Ovis aries: one gene and its partner. Each later gene encodes a partner of the first gene's protein in a complex. Links are inferred from orthologs where the notes say so. Each region holds a gene or a part of one and is shown on either strand. Other genes may lie near its edges. The genes, in order: BANF1 and EMD.

The links.
Region 2: the proteins of BANF1 (region 1) and EMD are in contact, whole or in part, in a crystal structure (PDB 7NDY), measured with the Homo sapiens proteins. The link is inferred for Ovis aries from reciprocal best matches to the Homo sapiens genes BANF1 and EMD. Residues at the interface, in NP_001137457.1 of Homo sapiens: Arg37, Phe39, Gln48, Val51, Leu52, Lys53, Asp55, Leu58, Glu61, Trp62, Asp65; in NP_000108.1 of Homo sapiens: Pro22, His23, Gly24, Pro25, Val27, Ser29, Thr30, Arg32, Leu33, Tyr34, Lys36, Lys37, Glu40.

What each region holds. Positions count from the first base shown.
Region 1 is NC_056074.1:40,527,808-40,536,864, forward strand, and holds BANF1 (barrier-to-autointegration factor), read left to right. Parts: upstream 1-1,499; 5' UTR 1,500-1,577; intron 1,578-2,269; 5' UTR 2,270-2,285; coding exon 2,286-2,408; exon of another isoform or gene 2,409-2,879; coding exon 2,880-3,026; 3' UTR 3,027-3,404; downstream 3,405-9,057. Other genes in the region: CST6 (cystatin-M), read left to right, coding at 8,887-9,057. UniProt on the Homo sapiens protein: Non-specific DNA-binding protein that plays key roles in mitotic nuclear reassembly, chromatin organization, DNA damage response, gene expression and intrinsic immunity against foreign DNA.
Region 2 is NC_056080.1:80,068,118-80,077,550, forward strand, and holds EMD (emerin), read right to left. Parts: upstream 5,192-9,433; 5' UTR 5,068-5,191; coding exon 4,986-5,067; intron 4,888-4,985; coding exon 4,780-4,887; intron 4,613-4,779; coding exon 4,535-4,612; intron 4,346-4,534; coding exon 4,212-4,345; intron 3,741-4,211; coding exon 3,694-3,740; intron 3,612-3,693; coding exon 3,275-3,611; 3' UTR 2,872-3,274; downstream 1-2,871. UniProt on the Homo sapiens protein: Stabilizes and promotes the formation of a nuclear actin cortical network. Stimulates actin polymerization in vitro by binding and stabilizing the pointed end of growing filaments. Inhibits beta-catenin activity by preventing its accumulation in the nucleus.

The DNA of each region.
Region 1 (9,057 bases):
TACTGGTATAACCATAAAAACTAAATACATGTTTTAGAAAAATAAGCCATTCTGGAAACCACTTGGAGAAGAGGCAAGATAAGTCACTTCTTCCTTAACCTGCTTGTACATCTCAGGTGTGACACAACCACACAGATGTTCAGTCTCTCAGTACCCTACAGACACAGACCAGCTACCACAAGCCAGGTCAGGAATGAGCTAATTTAAGGGCAAGGTAGACTAAATTGATGCTTTTGAACTGTGGTGTTGGAGAAGACTCTTGAGAGTCTTTTGGGCAGCAAGGAGATCCAACCAGTCCATCCTAAAGGAAATCAGTTCTGAATATTCATTAGAAGGGCTGATGCTGAAGCTGAAACTCCAATACTTTGGCCATCTGATGCGAAGAACTGACTCACTGGAAAAGACCCTGATGCTGGGAAAGACCGAAGTCAGGAGGAGAGGGGGACGACAAAGGATGAGATGGTTGGATGGCATCACCGACTCAATGGACATGAGGTTGAGCAAGCTCCGGGAGTTGGTGATGGACAGGGAAGCCTGGCGTTCTGCAGTCCATGGGGTCACAAAGAGTCAGACACGACTGAGCGACTGAACTTAATTGAGACCGATTTGATCTTTGGCATCTGCTGTTTCTGACCCTGGTACTGCAAGACAACGACTGATGCGTACTCAGAAGACTGTTGTTCAGTCGCTAAGTCGTATCCGACTCTTGCGACCCCATGGACTGCAGCACGCCAGGCTTCCCGGTCCTTAACTATTTCCCCGAGTTTGTTCAAAGTCATGATGGTTTCCAAAGGAAACTCCGAAGTGTCATCTCTAGTTGCCGTCCCCTGCCCTCCTCCTTTCCTATCTCGATGGAAAGATGCTCAGAGGGAAAGATCCAAACTTACTCTCTGGCCCTCGGATCCCACGAGAGCTGCCAGAACGACCCGGTTCTCCAGGCAGAACGCTGAGATCGCCTCATCCACGACTCACTTCAGAGCTGAGGCAACGAAAGCAGAGAAAAAGGACTCGCCGGTGGTCACAACGTTTGGAGTCGGTTTGGACTCAGGTCTGGGGCTCATCCGGTTCCCGTCCGACTCTAATAAGTCCGACAGGGAGGAGGACAACGCCTGTCGGCCTGAGTCGGACACCGTACTTCCGGCGCTCTCCCGGAAGTCTCCTGGTCACGCCTTTCCCCTTGTCCGTCTCTCTAATTTTTCCCACCACCAGGTCGGCCAAGGTTAAGTGGCTAAGTTCCGCATGCCGTGCAGCAGATAAATAAAGTTTTCTTCTCACAGGTTTCTGTTCCCTGAGGCCGGAAATGCTTCCCAAGAAGCAAGACTACAAAAGGCAGCCCGGCTTCCTCCGAAGCAACCGGAAATGAACTCCTACTAAGGGCGCTCTCGAGGTCTGGGTGGTGTCGCAACTCTATGACCCTAAGCGGCTAGAAGTGCCCAATGTAGTTTTGTTTTTTTTTTTTAAAGGCCCCCCCCTTGAGGCGACCCGGAAGCGGAAGTGGAAGAAAGTTCTAGTGGGCTGAGGTAGCGGCGGGAGCAGCCGGGTGGCGGGAGAAGCCGTTACAGGAACTGGAGCTGCGGGTGAGCGCGAGCCGCGGAACAGGGCTCGGGCTGGAGGCCAGAACGGGCGCGGGGAGGAGGGGGAGGCAGGGAGGAGAGGGCCCGCAAGGGCTGAGACGGGCCAGACGATGCGCCCTCCGAGAGGGCTCGGCGAGGCGCTGGGAGGGGCGGGGCGCGGCGCGTTGGGGGCGGGGTCCACGGCGTAGGGCGCGGCGGGCGTCCAGGTGTGGCGCTGACGCTGCTGGCAGCGCGGGTGTGCGCGCTCGGGCTGCGCCTTCGCTCAATGAGCAGCCTGTGCGGCGGCGGCGGGGTCAGGGCCCGCCGTTTGCTTTTCGGGCCAAGTGGCCATTCCAGACCCGAGTCAGTGCTGCTTTTGCCCAGCCAAGGTCACAGAGGGTTGACACTTTCAGGGCGGGCCCTGGGTACTGTGGAAATCTTACCTTTGTCCTGCTTGCGCCGCCTGTTAGGGCAAGATAGTTTCTCCTCGGGGGCGGTACCAAAACCCAGCTCCCGCAGGGACTGGGCGAGACTAAGCTCTTAAACAGTGAGGAAAAGACTGTGCGTGGACCTCAGTTTTCTCATCTGTGAAGTGGGGGGAATCGAGAAAGCCCCCATAACAGCTGCTTTGGCATTCTCTTCCTGTGAGATTGCCAGTGGGTTTTCGGGCGTTCCCTGGTTTTCAGCCCTAATTTCCCTCTTCTTGGGATTCCCAGATTAAGCTTGATCGAGATGACAACCTCCCAAAAGCACCGAGACTTCGTGGCAGAGCCCATGGGGGAGAAGCCAGTGGGAAGCCTGGCCGGGATTGGCGAAGTCCTGGGCAAGAAACTGGAGGAAAGGGGCTTTGATAAGGTGTGGAGTGGCTGCCTGTAGTTGGGAGGGGGGCGAGGCGCGACAACAGCATTTCCCGGCAGCTGGGGAGTGAGGAGGGTGTGTGTATCTGTTGGGGAGTGGACGCTCCTGTGTGATCGGCAGAGTCAGCCGGGCAGAACCCACCCTGCCTCTTGGGCTCATGTGTGGGGAGCCACAGGAAAGTGGCCCTTTTTTCCCCCGTGATGTTTATTTGTTTCTGTTTGCCCTGGGGTCTTAGTTGCAGCTTGCAGGATCTTTCATTGTGACTCACAGGCTCCAGAACCCACGGGCTTAGTTGCCCCACAGCAAGTAGGATTGTAGATTCCGGGCCAGGGATTGAACTCATGTCCCCTGAATTGCAAGACAGATTATTCACCACTGGACCAGCAGGGAAGTCCCAGGAAGTGGTCGTCTTGTTCTTAGTCCTACACAGCACTCGGCAGCCCATCTTTTGCTTTGCCCGTTTTGCAGGCCTATGTGGTCCTCGGCCAGTTTCTGGTCCTAAAGAAAGATGAAGACCTCTTCCGGGAATGGCTGAAGGACACGTGTGGCGCCAATGCCAAGCAGTCCCGGGACTGCTTTGGCTGCCTTCGAGAGTGGTGTGATGCCTTCTTGTGATGCTCTCTGGGGAGCCCCCGATCCCAAGCCCCAGCATTGAGTCTCCAGAGTTTGCAGCCTAGTGAGGACTCCTCCTCCGTCCTCTACAAAAGAAGAGATTGCTGTTGTGCACACCTCCCATGTACTCCAGGGCCTTTGGGGAGTTCTCTCCCCTCACCGTTTCAACTTTTTTGGAATTCTCACCCTTGCATGCATTTTCCTTTTCCTTTCCCTGCCAGTTTCGTGACAATAATTACCAGCTTTTCTGAGTGGATTCCTGGCCCTGTCCCTCACCCCCACCCCCACCTGTGGTCTCTTTTATGCCATTTGGTAGTCTTTTTGGCAGAACAGTCACTGTCCTTGTAAAGTTTTATAAATCAATAAAGCCAGTGGCCTTCATGACTGGGCTTTGTATGTGGGAAGCAGGCAGGCTGGGAGTTGCCTGTTCCCCAGGGACTGACCAGGTTTGCCACACTGCTTATCAGTGCAGATCGAAACTGGCAGCTTCCCTCACACTCCCAAGGGCGGCCATCCTGGCAATACGGGCCTTGGGCAGGTGCCTTGAAGTGTCTCAATCCCTCACCAACGTGGGAGAGTGAGTGGGTTGGTTCCTTCCTGGGATCCAGACATCCGTGTGGTCAACAGCTGGGTTAGTCAGCACCTGGTGGAAAGTCCGAGGGAGTCAGAGCAGGAAAAGGGTGGATGGGATGTGGACTGAGGTCTACCTGCCATTGGTCATGTGTTCTCCTGGTCTCTGGGATGAGTGGGCGGGGCTCATGCAGTCCGCCCTGTTCTCAGGGAGGCAGAAAGTGTGTGGGCAACCCAACTGGGTGGGCAGGCTTGAGTGAGTTACACTTGTATTTGGTATATCTTCATCATCTGTTTATCGGACTTACTATGAACCAGGTTCAGAGCTAAGGTTTGTGTAAACATTTTTTTTTCATTCATAATAAGTGTTAGTTTTGTTTTCCACAGATGAAACTAGAGGGTCAGGCTGACTCCATGGACTTACTACTGGGAAGTAGCCAGACTGGTCCTCAAAACATCACATGGAAACCCATGGACCTGAGAGCCATGGGTGGTGTTTGCTCACGGCTCTTGGTCTCTCTCAGACTCAATTTCCCCACCTGGAAAATGAAATTGTTGTAAGGATCAGATGCAGTGCTGGTCGTGTTCAGGAGCTACTTATTTATAGAATTTTCCTTGTCCTCAGGGCTTGAAGTCTGGTGAGGGGAGAAATGACATCATAAATAGAAACACTTCGATAGCGTGAGTAGATTTTCATGATTTCAGAATAGGGAAAGATTAAAAAGCTGATAGATTCAACTCCATCATAGAAATTTTGTTCAGGATAATCAGAGTGAGTGAGGAGCCTAACCCAGGGTGAGGAAGGATATTTGCGACCCACATAGATGACACAGGACTCCAGAGCTGCAGTCGAGAGAGAGCAGACAATACAATAGAAAAATGGGTGAAAGACCTGGAGGGCAGCCACAGAGGAATACCTGAGTGGTGAATAAGCATGTCAGAAGGTGTTCGGTCAGATTAAGTCCGGCAGAAACGCAAATAAGATGCCATTATACACTCACAGGATTGGCAAAAAAATTTAAGTCAGACAATACCAAGTTCTGATGAAGAAATGGAGCAACAGGAACAGATATCCAACTAGTGGGAGTGTAAATTGGTGTGAACAATTGGGGAAAGCAGTTGGGTGTTTGCCAGTAAAACTGAAGACCCACCCTGTGAGCCAGCAGTTCCTCGCCAGGGACGGGACAGGACGCAAAGCACACCTGCGTCAGCGCCTGAGCGGATGTTCACAGCGGCTTTGTTCCTTCACAGGGGCTCCCAGCTGGATCCGCATGGGGGCTCTTTGCAGAGGCAGTAAAACTAGAAGGGGAAAAAATGCTTTTTGCCAGAGAAAATGAAATCACTGAGTTGTGTCCAATTCTTTGTGACCTCAATGGACTGTAGCCTGCCAGACTGCTCCTCCATGGGACTTTACAGGCAAGGATACTGGAGTGGGTTGCCATTTCATTTTCCAGGGGATCTTCCCGACCTAGGGATCGAACCTGGCTCCCGCACTGCAGGCAGACTCTTTACTGTCTGAGCCCCAGGGAAGATTATTGCAAAAGTCATTGGTAAAGAGAAGTGGGGAGTGATTGCCTTTGGGGGAAAGAGACAGGTGTGATGCATGGGAGCATAGGGGGCTGCGAGTGGCAGTTTCCACTTCTTGACCTGTATGGTGGTGATCCAAGACACTCTGTACTTTTCTGTCTGTTAGATACATCTCAGAACAGTAGAAGATAAAAGGGAGAACAAAAATAAAGACCCAAGGATAGAGCAGTTAGGTAATTAGCCAGAGATTATGATGGTTATTAGTAGGGATGAAGGTTCAGTGTAAGCCTGGGTCTTGGAAGTGTGAGAGGCCCCTGGAAGATCACCAGGTGGCCAGAGCTGGGCCCAGCTCGTGTTACAGGCTGCTTCCTTGGAGGGTGCCAGTCTGAAGCCCAGAAAGGTAGTCATGGGGACTGTCCCTGGAGTTTCAGGCCGTACTATGTTTCTAATGTTACTCTGCTTGGGTCCAGGGTCTTCGGCTGTCCTGACCTCTGAACAACTGTATTCACCTGCAAAATGATGGTACTTACTAACTCGGGTGTTTGTGAGAATAGACCAGCTGGTGAAAAGTCTTTGGAAATTGTTAGGTTGGTGTGCAAAAGATTTGTTGGTGTCAGCACAAAGGAATGGCAGGGTAGGGACAAGTGAGCTGGGGACACTGGCCCTTGGCTAGCTTCCCGGGGAGCTGGTGCAGATTTAAGTGCAGCTGCAGCTGAGTTCCCAGTGGCAGGAGCGCAGGCCTAGAGGAACCCAAGGAGGTGCCTGGCCGCTTGGGCTGCCTCCCCACCTCTCCCAGCGTGTGCTGCAGCCTGGGCCTCTTACTCCCCCATGGCCAGGCTCTCTTGGCCTGGCTCCTGCCTGGCCTTGGCCTCCTCATCAAGCCAAGCTCTCCCCAGCTCTTGCACAAATGGGTCTGTTGCAGAGAAGAACCAGTTTTCACTCCACATTGGAACTGTTTTTTAGACTCTTCCTGCTGTTCTTATGTGTTGTGTTAGTCACTGAGTCATGTCTGACTCTTTGCGACCCCCTGAACTTTAGCCCACCAGGCTCTTCTGCCCAGGGAATTCTCCAGGCAAGAATACTGGAATGGATAGCCATTCCCTTCTCTGGGGGATCTTCCTGATCCAGGAATTGAACGCCAGGCTTCTGCATTGTAGGTGAATTCTTTACTGTCAGAGCCACCTGGGAAGCCAGGACATAATGGTCTGCCTCAAAGGACCCTGGCCCTCTGACTGTGAAACTAAAGTGCCTTTGTTCAGCTCATAGAGAATCTGACTCTGTCCCTCTGTGAATGACTACAAAAAGGGGATTAACACGTCCCTTCCGAATGCTGGCCCTCCTGGAGATGTTTTGCAAGACTGAAAGCCCTTTTTACTTTACCTCCTCTCTCTGCTGGGCCTTTTGACTTTTTAGTTCCTCATTGCTTCTCCCTCAGGTTCTATAAACGAGCCTGGCATCCAGACCCCAACAGCATGGTCATTTTGAGACATTAGTCTGCCATCTTCTCCGTCAGCCAGCTCTCCAAATACAGTTGTATCCCTTGCCTCAGCACCTTGTCTCTGGGATTCACTGGCCTGTCATGTGGCGAGCAGAGGGAGCTTGGACTCCATAAGTGGTCTGTCCCTTTAAGGCAGACACCTGAGCCCACAACAAACTTGTGACTATTCCTTGGCATCCCAAGATTGTTTTTCACAGCTGTGCTGAGGGTGTGGGGCAGCATCTGGACTGGGCAGTGACTACATGCTGGTCCTGGTCTCCCTGGGAGAAATCCCTGCCTTTCCTGACCTCGGGATTCTGAGGGTCTGGGAATTGGGGTTGGGATCAGGGAATCTTGGATGCTTACTCATAATATTCATCACAATAATAGCTGCCACTTATTAAGCCCCAACACTTTGTTGCTTACTGAAAACCACCACCCCTCCCAAGCCCCAGGTAAGATCCTCAGCAGCCCTGAAGCACTAAAGATTGGTGTCCCCAGAGCAAAAAACACCCTCCCCACCACAACAAGTGATTAAAAGTACAAACTGCCTTGCACTTGGCTTCCCCAGTAGCTCAGCGGTAAAGAATCTGCCTACAATAAAGGAGACGCAGGAGATGCTGGTTTGATCCCTGGCTTGGGAAGATCCTCTGGAGAGGGGCATAGCAACCCATTCCAGAATTCTTGGCTGGAGAATCCCATGGACAGAGGAGCCTGGTGGGCTACAGTCCATAGGATCTCAAAAGTCTGAAGCCACTAAGCACGCACCCTAAATTCTTAAAACATTAATTGTAGAAAATTCTAAAACATGTCAAACTTTTCCTGTGTTGACTACTTCAGTGCTGCTTTTTATATTGTGTCAGATTATTCCCCCCAGAAATCATAGCCCTGGGACTTTCCTACTGGTCTAGTGGTTTTTCTGGGTGCCTAATGTCCTCTGCTAGCATCTGTGGAATTTGCTCGATGCTCAAGTGTTCTTTCGATGAATTTGTGGGGGAGAAAGTGGTCTCCCTGTCCTATTCCTCCGCCATCTCGGTCCAGTGGTTAAGACGCCCTTCCAAAGGGAGATGTGCATTCTATCCCTGGTCTGGTAAATAAGATCCCACATGCAGGGTGTGGCCAAAAAGTTAAAAATCACAGCCTTGTTTTGCTGGTACTTCCAACATATGCCCAGTTTACCTATGAGTGACCCAGTTTCAGGCCCTTATAATTAGCAAGACCTTAGAAGACAAGAGTTGTCACCTTTCTTCAGGTGAGGACTGAGGCTCCCAGAGGTCAAAGGGCTTGCTGGAAGGCCCCCAGGCAGTAAATGGCAGAGCTGGGACCACCCACACTCCTGGCCAGCTATCTTTTGGGCTCCCTCTGGACTGAGAACACAGATTTAAGTTAGACTGTGTCTCGTGTGTGTGTGTGTGTGTGTGTGTGTGTGTGCGCGCGCGCGCGTGCGCTCAGTCGTGTCCAGCTCTATGTGACCCCACGGACTGTAGCCCGCCAGCCTCCTCTGTCCATGGGATTTTCCTGGCAAGAATACTGGAGCGGGTTGCCATTTCATATTCCAGGGGATCTTCCCGACCCAGGGATTGAACTTTCATCTCTTACGTCTCCTGCGTTGGCAGGCGGATCCTATACGACCAGCGCCTGCCTGGGCTCAAAAGCCAGTGTCACCATTTACTAGTTACCAGCCTGTGTTCTTGGGCAAAATCAGTTGTTTACTCTGTGTCCTGTTTACTCCTCTGTAAAATGGAACCCTTGCTCACTGATCCCTACCTCATGCTGGTCATGAGGGTTAAACAGTGCCCGGCTCAGGGCAGTAAGGACTCCTGCTTACCTGCTGTTTATATAGCACCTGGCCTCCCCTAAGCACTTATTGAACCCTCGAAGCAACCCATTTCACAGAGGAGGAAACTGAGGCAATGAGGGTTAAGTAACTTCTCCAAGACTACCATTGGAGATAGTTAAGAGCTTGCTAGTAGCTGTTGTGGGTTTCTCATATGGGATGGGTCTCTGTGAACTGCCCCTGTGGTGGCACTTGTGGCTAGGAGCTGTCGCAGTCCTTGCCCTCCCCAACCAGGTGTGCCTGGAGGGCAAGCAGCGTGGTGGTGATGCCCAGGTGTGCTCGGGCCTGCCCGCTGTCCTCCTCGGCACCCCGCAGGCGGCCTCACGTGTGGACCAACCAGGCTGGGTGGATCCCTCCCCGCCTGCGGGGGCGCGCGGCGAGCGGCGGGCGGGGCCAGGCGGGGCCGAGGAGCCCATAAAAGCGGCGCCGGCCGCGGTCAGATACCGACACCGATGGCCATGGCGCGTCCTAGCCTCCTGCTGCCGATGGCCCTGGCCTTGCTCGCACTCTGCCTCCTGGTGCTGCCCCGCGACGCCCGGGCCCGGCCGGGGGACCGCAAGGTCGGAGAACTGCAGGAGCTGTCGCCCAGCGACCCGCAGGTGCAGAAGGCGGCGCAGGCGGCC
Region 2 (9,433 bases), on another chromosome or scaffold:
ACCATCTGGGTGCGATGTGTTATCCAGGGAGGGGACAGGACTCCTGGTTACACTCTCCTCTGGGGCCATTCTCCCTCCAGGGGCCCCCACCAGGCAGGCTTTGAAACCCGGGATGGCAGGGTAGACTGATGGCAGGGAGGACCGTCTGCTCTTGGCAGGCTGGTCCAGGCAGCAGGCAGGAGAATCTGGGTGAGTCCAGGTAGGGGATTGGTGCCTGATGGGCCGGCAGAGGTGAGAGGGGGCTTTCTGGGAGGACCTCCCTACCTGGCTCCCCCCAGTGGTAGGGGACTTTACTGAGCTCCTGCCTGCCCTGGGGAGGGGCTGGGGCTAGTTTCCAGGGCATGGGTATGCTGAGCCTAAGGCCAAAGGCCAGCCCCAGGGGCAGTAACAGTGACACCCTCCTTTTCTTTAGTTCCTTGGGGAGGTTCATCCTCGTGGACCCACGGGCTTGTACCCACAGGCTTGTACCCACTCTTGGATGGCTGCTTCTTCAGTGCTGGGACTAGCCCAGTAGAGTGGTCAAGGTCGGAGTGGTCCTAGATTGTGAAATGCTGTCTGCTACTTCCCCTAGACCTGGGGGCGGGGGGAGGGTGCGGCTGATGTCAAGGGTGGCATCAGGAGCTCCCCCTGCTTGCCATACCTCCCGGGCACTTCTCTCTGTGCTCCACCAGGGATGCTGCTCAGGCTGTCTGGCAGGGTCCCAAGCTACCAGCTCAGTTGCCTCATCCAGGGCCTCCTAGGCTCCTCCATGTCTGCCAACCACCACTACCATCCCCCGACTCCGCTCTGGTGGTACCTAAGATGGCAGGAGATGTCCTGCACGCTAGGAAGCTGCTGCCCCCTGCTGTGCTCCCAGTACCACTGCAGCCCATGGTCCAGGCAGGAGCCTGGAGGTTGGTCTCAGAGCCCTGGAAAGCCCTAGGTGGGGACTTGGAAGCCTGATGTTTCTTGGGGGCTCACGGAGCCCTCAAAAGCTTTTGGCTGGGGTGCCCAGAGCACTTGGAGGCATTCAGGCGCCCTTATGGGGGTCCAGGGCCTTGGAAGCAAGGCTAAGCCTGGCGGGAGTCTGGAGGGAGGTCCAGAGTCCTCAGGAGAGCTCTCTGGGAGGAGGGTATCTCAGTGCCCTGGAGCAGTGATTTTGAAGCAAGGCCCTCAGAAACCCTCCGTCTGGTGCATGGTGATCAATGGATGTCGTCACCCATGAGAAATAAAAGGGGGAGACTGTGTCACCTGGGAGGCAACTCTGTCTCCCTTCAGACACAGCAGTGGTTGCCAAGCACATCTAGCCTCCCCCTCGGCCCTGCAGATGGACGATCTGAAGCCCGGAGGGGACCATTCCGTGCAGAGGCCATGCCATCTCTCTCCCCTTCCTCCCTGCAATCCCTCCTCTCCACCAGGACCCCGTGGGTCTCCCGCTGCACAGCCACCCCCAGGAGGAGCACTTGAGATCACTTGCCGAAATGAGATGTTGCGCCATGCCCCTGTGGAGTTCTGATGCCCTGACGATGGGACTCCTTGTTCTCCCACCCTCCAGTTCACTAATTTGACCACCTGCCCCTGTGGTCACAGATGAGCAGGCCACACCTCTTGCCCATGCCCACCGCCCACCACGGAGCATCCGTGTCTCAGCTCTTGGTCTAGGATGGCATGAGACAGATGCTGGGGGCTCAGGGGTGTCCCGGCCACAGTGGACTGGGTGCCACAGGAGTCAGGTGGGAGTGCCTAGCAGCAAACGAGGGAGGCTGGGGCTCTGGGAGGGGTGAGAATATGAGAAGCCATTTCTTTTTGGTGTATTTGAAATGCACAAAGAAAGCCTGTTGGTTTTAGGAAAACGCCCACCCCATCCCACCCCATAAAAGTGCGGAGACTAGGATGCAGCAAAAAGAAGTGTCCAGAAGCTTTGGTAGAAAGGTTCCAGTCTGGCCCTGAGCAGAGCTTACCCAGCGGCCATAGACAGCGGAGAGCCCCAAGGCTCAGGAGCCCATGGTGCACGTGCAGGTGAGAGGGCAGGCCCTGCCAAGTCCTGCCACCTGTACGAAGGAGCCCGTCAGAGCTGAGATGCCAGGGTCCCACCCAATGGTGGCCCAGGGGGTGCCTTTGCTTCCCTTTTGTGTGCCTGTTTCTCCAGACTTTACTGCCCTCTACAGGCAGTGCGGAGCCCAGACGAACAGTGTGGCATTCTACCCCATGTTTCCTTAGCACTTGATGTTAAGTGAGTGAAAGTCGTTCAGTCGTGTCAGACTCTTAGCGACCCCATGGACTGTAGCCCGCCAGGCTCCTCTGTCCTTGGGATTCTCCAGGCAAGAATACTGGAGTAGGTTGCCATTTCTTTCTCCAACTCGATGTTAAAATCACATGTAAACTGTGAAAATTGTTAAATGCCCACAGCAGAAAACCTTGTGGTAATACCCAGGTGAGGAACTGGTTTACTAAAAGGAGATGAAACATTCCAGAGGACTGAGAGCCTTCCCCTGTCATTAGACAACCAGCCTTCCAGCAGCCCATCAAGCAGATGCCTCATTTCCTTCCCATCACTCTGCCCTTGGACACCACAGTTGGTGTCTGCTGGTCCCAGTTGAAACACCCAGAACTGACACGGTGCAAGCAGCCTCACCTGCGTTTCCCAGTGGGCTCTCTGTGTGACTATTTTTTATAAGCACTTACAAGAGCTTCTGGTAACATGTCAGGGAGCGGGCACCAAAAGCAAAACATAAATGAGTTTATGGGTTGCCTATGATCCCTATCTCAGGCTCAAAGGACGAAAGGATGAACTGACAAAGTTGGATGGCAATTCTGGAGACCCAAGGCCTGGAAGCCTTTAGCAGGGGGGCAGCCCAACCCCTCCCCATGTTAAAGAAAAGAACCCACACATTAAAAATAAATGGTCTTTTATTGTGTCCACGAAAACAAACTCAGGGTGGCCTTTGGTTAATCCCCCCATGAGGTGACGACAAATAGGAGGCATGCGATGACCAAAACCATGTTCTCCTCTCCAGGAGAAGGGTCTTGCCCTCCTAGGCCCGAAGGGTGACAGGCAAGCAGGGCCAGGAGGATCCAGAGGCAGGCCCACCCAGGTCCACCATGCCGCAGAGGGCCCAGGCCTGCTGCCTCCCTGGCAGGACAGGGCAGGGGTCAGCAAACATTGCCCATGTCCTGGTAACCCCAAGCTAGAACACACAGAAAAGCCCCAACCCCCCTCCCCCAACAAACACTGATAAGGCAGTCAGCCAGGGCTTCCAAGAGGAGCCGGCCTCCAAGGTACGAGGTCAGACCCTTAGGGCTCTGCCCAGAAAGGGTTGCCATCCTCGGCCTGCATGGAGTAGTAAACAAAGAGCAGGAAGGCAGCAAAGACCAGGAACAGCAGCACCTGGCCCCAGAGCGGGACCTGGCGATCCTGGCTCAGGCCGGCAGCCCCAGGGGCCTGCTTTTCAGGCCGGATGGCTCTGCGGGTGAGCCACGAAGGGGCCGAAGATGAAGATGAGGACACACTCGAGGTGGAGGAGGATGTGGGATAATAGGACAGGCCCAGGGAGCTTCTGGAGATGTTGGAAATAGGGCGGTAGTGTGCAATGTTCTGGTAGGCACTGTCCCGGCCATACAGGAGGCGTTCCCTGAGGCAAAGAGTGCAGTAGGTAGACCAGGAGGGCTTGAGTCCTGAATCAGCCCCAGCCCCTGGCTCGCCTTAATACTCACCGATCCTTGCCTTCCTCTTCCAAAGAGAAAAGATTGTCATCACGGACCTACAGAAGTGAATCAGAATGAGAATACCTATTGACAGGGTCGGTGTAGGTATGACAGGTCATACCCTCAGTCCAAACTGCCCTTCCCAGCCTGTTCTGAACACTGATTAAAGGCCTGGGCCCTGCCACCCTCCAGACCCCCTTCTTGGTCCTCAGCCTTATGTCTGCAGGGCCGTGCCACTTGTCCCGGCTGCCTGCATCCTACTTTCTGCCCCAGAATTCTCAAAAAGAGCTCAAACCTAGATCCCAGACCAGAGCCAGGGCACGTCCTGGGCACACTAGTCAAAACAGTTCTGACAGCCCCTTCCCCCACCCCAAAGGTCTTGACCAGGCAGGTGTCTGCAGGCCCCACCTCTCCCTGGAGGTTTCTGAGCCACCATTTGTGCCCAGTGGTTCCCTTGACTCATCCAAACCCCATGAGGACCCCCTCAGGTTGTACCCAAGTACAGGGTGCCCGACAACTCAGCTCACCTGGCGGTGAAAGGGGTCAGCATCTGAGAGTGAAGCTGAGGGCTGGCGGAAGCCCTTGGATGTGCCCATAGACTCAGGCTCCCCGTAAGTCCTGGTGGTCAAGTAACTCTCCTCATAGTAGTCATCATTATAGCCTTAGGAAGGGGGGGGCAGCGGTAGCAGAAGGGGCAACGGTGTCCCCACCTGGCCCGATGGCCCTAATCTGAATCCCATTGGGGGGGGGGGTGCTGCAGGGCTACTGCAGGACGCATGGGGTTGAGGTCTCAGGTTCTGGCTGACACTGGAAGGAAGGTGTCAGAGTGCCCACCCCACCCCTGCCTTACCCTTGCTCTGGTAAAGTAAGGCGTCCTCTTTCTTGGGCAGATCATACATATCCGAGTCCACGGACGCCGAATCTAAGTCTGAATGGGGGAGGGGCTAGGACCATTGGCCCACAGGGGTCCCCTCCCGTTTCCCCCGCGCCCCTTCCAGCCAGTGCCCTGGCCACACCCCCGCGACCCCTTCCTCAGCGTCCCCCAAACCGTGTCCCCAAGGGCGGCCAGGCGGGGCCCTGGGACGGGAGCCTCACCCGAGAACCGATAGGAGAAAGAGGATGCGGACGAGCTCGGGGGCGAGAGCCTCCGCCTCTGGGTCTCATACTCGAAGATTTTCTTTTCGTAGAGCTTGCGAGTGGAACCTGATCAGACGCGGGGCACAGGGCGGTCAGGGAGCGGGCCGAGAGGGGGCCGCGGGGCTAAGCGCGGGGAGCGGGCCCGCCCTCCGTCCACCGCGTACCGACGACGGGCCCGTGTGGGATGTTGTACTGGCGCAGCACGGCGGCCAGCTCGGAGTCCGAGAGGACTGCGTAGTCGTCCATGGCGGGCAGCGGGCGGCGGAGGCCTGGGGGAGGCCTGGGCCTTGCAACACCGGCCGAGAGACGATGGCCTCGGAGCGCGGCAGGGGAAACAGGAGTGCCTCGGGAGCGGCTACGCGCGCGTCACGCCCGCGTCACAGTCTCGGTCTCCGCGGGCAGCGCGCGCTGTGCGGAGCGGGGCCGGGCCTCGCAGAGAGCTGCCAGCGCAGATTGGTGGAGCCTCGCGAATGGGCGGGGAGGGGCGGGGCTCCCGAGCCCAGAGACGTCACACGCTGGCGCATTTAGGGCTGGACCCCAGCGAGGGGGCGGGGCCTGGGCGCGACGGGAACTAGCTTAGACCCGCCCCGGCTTGGGAGCGGGGCGGGGCCCGCGAGCCGCGACGTCACCCGCTCGGCTATTTGGGTCAGAAGGGTGGAGGGGCGGGGCCTGTGGCCATGCAACCGGCAGAAACTGGGCAGGATGCGGGAGCTGGGCGGGGCTGCGCGCTGGGCGGGGCTCGCCCTCCCTGAGTCACGTGGAGTCCGCTCGGTCTCAACTGCCCCTCTGCTCCAGCAATTGCGGGTCCCTGGCCGCGCCCCAGGCGGGCGCGTCGCCGGCGGCTGCGAGAAGGGGCCTGATCCGAAGGGGCAAGCCCTTGGAGAGCACGGGTCCAGACTAGGCGCTGCTGCACGCGCAGTGCGCGCGCGCGCCACACCAAGGAAGCCTGTAGCCACCTGACCATAAACCGCCCCCCAGAGCCCCAGACCCCCTGCCCCAGCACGCCTTCCCGCTCTGCAGGATCCTGGCCTGCGCCCGCCGGTTCCCACCGCCTCCCTCCCTCCCCTTGCACCCCAGAGGAAATGGGGCACTGGGCCAGGAGGCCACCGGCCCTCCAGGAGCCAGCAGCCTTGGAAGGGGCCCGGGCATGCCAATGGGCACTGGCATGGGGCGCCCTGTGATGCCGAGATGGCGGGTGTCTGCCTCACCCACCGGCAGTGCACCAGAGGCGCGAGGGGCTTCCCCACCGTGGCTGGGATGGCCCCTGAGCCCAGCGTGACCCAGGAGGCTGCCAGAGGGACCTGCCCCAGGCTTCCGATAATGCACTCTGAGCACCTGGGTCTCAGTGGGCTTCAGGGTCGTGGGAGTGCAGAGGGAGCCTCCCAGACAGGGGGGCCAGGGGACTGAGGGGGGCAAACCATGGAAGGCAGCCAGGGCCTGTCACAGGGAGTTGGTGAGAGCCTTGGTCAGGAAGAGCTGTCCCATGAAAATTAGGAAGAAGATGACAGTGACATTCTAACAAAGCCAGCCAATGGAATGAGGGGAAACTTAAGTGCCTCTCCCGGAACTGAGATGAAGGCTGGCAGACTGGCCCAGTTGGTGAGGGTCACAGCCTCGGTCTCAGCAAAAGTTCCTTCATGGGGTGGAGAGAAGATAGGGCCCTGGTTTAACCACATACGAAGCCCCTCCTCAAGGTTGCTGTTGGCCAGGTTTTAGAAATGAGGCTTTCTCCATCTCCCAAAATATGAGGGCCCCACGCATGCATGGTCGGATGAGGGGCAGCGCCCCCAGGCAGGGCAAGGGTCTTGCTGCTTATCTCTGAGCAGGGAGGGAGATGGCATTTGGGCTCTGGGCTCCTCAGAGCCGGCTTCACGGAATTTGGAGTTTGGGCCAGATCAGATTCCCCAGCACCTCTCTAAGCCTTCTTTTGCAGTGCTGGCCCCTGTCCCGGAGGCCAGCCTCCCCTTGCCAACCCCCGCCCCATACAGACCCAAGCCGTTTCCTTATGAGGTCAAGGAATTCTAAGTTTGCCTTCTCCTCTGGGAGCACCCCCTCCCCGGCACCTGCCTTGGCCCTTTGCCTTTTATTTCCCTCTCCCCCAGTTGCCCCACTATGAGGTCCCACCACAGATGGCACCACATGGCTGACCTGTGATGGTCTCCTGCACATGAGCCCACCTGGAGCCCCAAGCCAGCCCCACTGCAGGCAGACCTGTCTCAAACCACTAGAAACCAGGCAAGCCCTTGACCATCAGAGCTGAGAGGCCCTTGGCACTGCCACAATGACATCGAGGAGGAATTAAGGGCCCAGAGAAGGAGGGGACTTATACAGGGGCACCCAGGGCAACAATTCATTCATGGATGTTCCCCTAGCCAGTACCTAGCCCTCGGGGTCATAACCTGGACAGCGTGGCCCACTGGGGATTCCGAGTCAGCAGAGGAGCTGTTAGTGGAAATCTGGGGCCTTGAGGGGAGTCTTCCTGGGAAGAGTGGGCAGAGTTAAAAGCAAGCATTTCTTTGGAACTTTGGCTGAGGCGAAAAGGGCTTGGAAGCCACTGATTCCAAGTCAGTAACAAGACAGTTTCACCTTTAAGGACTAGGATTCTAAGCAATAGATTATGTAACTTGTGATCCTAGCAACATCAAAAAATGTAAGGAAAAGTAATATCAACATGAATACATTTTTCAACAGGTCCAAGGAGACATTCACTGAGTGATTAATGTTTTAAGATCAGAACCTGAATCCTTTGGTACAATACAAAGCTTACTTTTTCCCTTTAAGGATGTTAAAGATCCTCTGGGTTTGGCCTAGCAGTCGAATGCTTTAAAACATGGCTCAGATGGTAACAAAAGTTGTAAGATGGTGACTAGTGTGAAAATGACCGTTTGGAAGGTTGTCACAATCAATATATAGCAGGGAATGGTTAGCTGACCAAAAACCTCTCAGGTGACACCTTGTGTTCCAGTCCTAGGACACGTCAGTCTGCCTTGGGACAGTCGGCATGGCAGCAGGAATGGAGCTGCTTCTAGTGCTTTTGTGGAACCTTCAACACAAGGTGATGGTTTAGTCGCTAAGTCCTGTCCGACTCTTGAACCCCATGGACTGTAGCCCACCAGGCTCCTCTGTCCATGGGATTTTCCAGGCAAGAGTACTGGAGTGGATTGTCATTTCCTTCTCCATCAACACAAGGAGCAAAAGCCTTTGTTAAAATCTTTTACCAGGGAAGAGCTGGTGCTATATAAACCTTCATTCCCCCCAGACCTGGAAAAGTAGAGACCCTGAGTTGCATGTGTCTCAGGGGTGTGGAGGGAGGGGAGAGAGAGAGTAAAGAGAGGATTAAAACGGAGGTGGGGGGTCCTGAGATCCAGCCATGAAGCCATCACTTCCTTTCTGCTACCCCAGCTATTGTACACTGATTCCCATTGCAATGCCTCTGGCAGGTGGGTGTCCCTCCTTGAAGGATAGCCTTGGCCATGAGCTACCTTGTGGACCTAAACTGAGACTGCTCATCTATCAAGGGAGGATAACCCACTGCCGTGAGGGGCGGAGGGGTGGATCCCACTAGATGGGGCGGGGAGAAACAGAGACCGAGGCCACTGCTAGGCGATCTCACCTGGGGTCAAGGTGGAGAGGTCATTGCCAACAAAGGCAGCAGTGGCTGCGGAGAGGCCTGGAGGGCAATCAGTGCCTTCCTGTTAGTGTGCAGCTGTAGATATCAAACTACGTTAGCAGGTGACAGCAGACTTCTCCTTTCTTCCCCCCTGTTCCTTCCTGCTTCTCCCCTTTTGCCTCCCTCCCTCCCTTCTTTTTGGAGAAGGAAATGGCAACCCACTCCAGTGTTCTTGCCTGGAGAATCCCAGGGACGGCGGAGCCTGGTGGGCTGCTGTCTATGGGGTCACACAGAATCAGACACGACTGAAGCGACTTAGCAGCAGCAGCAGCTCCCTTCTTTGCTTTTTCTCCTTTAATGAAGTAGAATAAAAGAAGAAAGATCAGAGTGCTTTTCAGGTGGTAAGGGACAGTCTCACTTCGTGGAACGTTTATTTCAGCCATTTGTGTCGATCTGCGTGTGTGCCTGCAAATATTGGCTCAGGATGTAAGATGCAGTTCTTTGTGGGGGTTGTGGGCACAGTGAGAAGACACTGCTTTGTGTGGCTTTCCCCGAGGAAGTGACATTTGAGCTGAATACGACGCTGTTAATACCAGGAAATGGGCACACAGAAGACGAAGAGGGAGCCTGGCAGTGCCAGGGTGTGGCTGTGCCCACCTAGTTCCCCAGACGCTTGGCTCCTCGGCTGCACCCCACTGTCCATGCCCAGGCCTCAGGACTGCAGCTAACTGTGCTGCTGAGAATTCAGTCCACTTCTGTTGCTTGCTTCCAGGCCAGGCCTGGCACTGGGCAGGGGCCAAACCCATGCCAGCCCGGGATGTTGTTTGGCTTGTCTTGGGGCTCAGGTCCCTGCCCCCGTGCAGACTTTCAGGTGGGAGGCTCTCAGTGCATACCTGCTAGAGCCTGTTGCACTTCCCCCTCCAAGGTAGAATCCAACTAGTCCGACCAGCCCCAGGCTTGGGGTAAAGGTAGGGGGGCGGCGCAAGACTGGGCAGCTCCCTG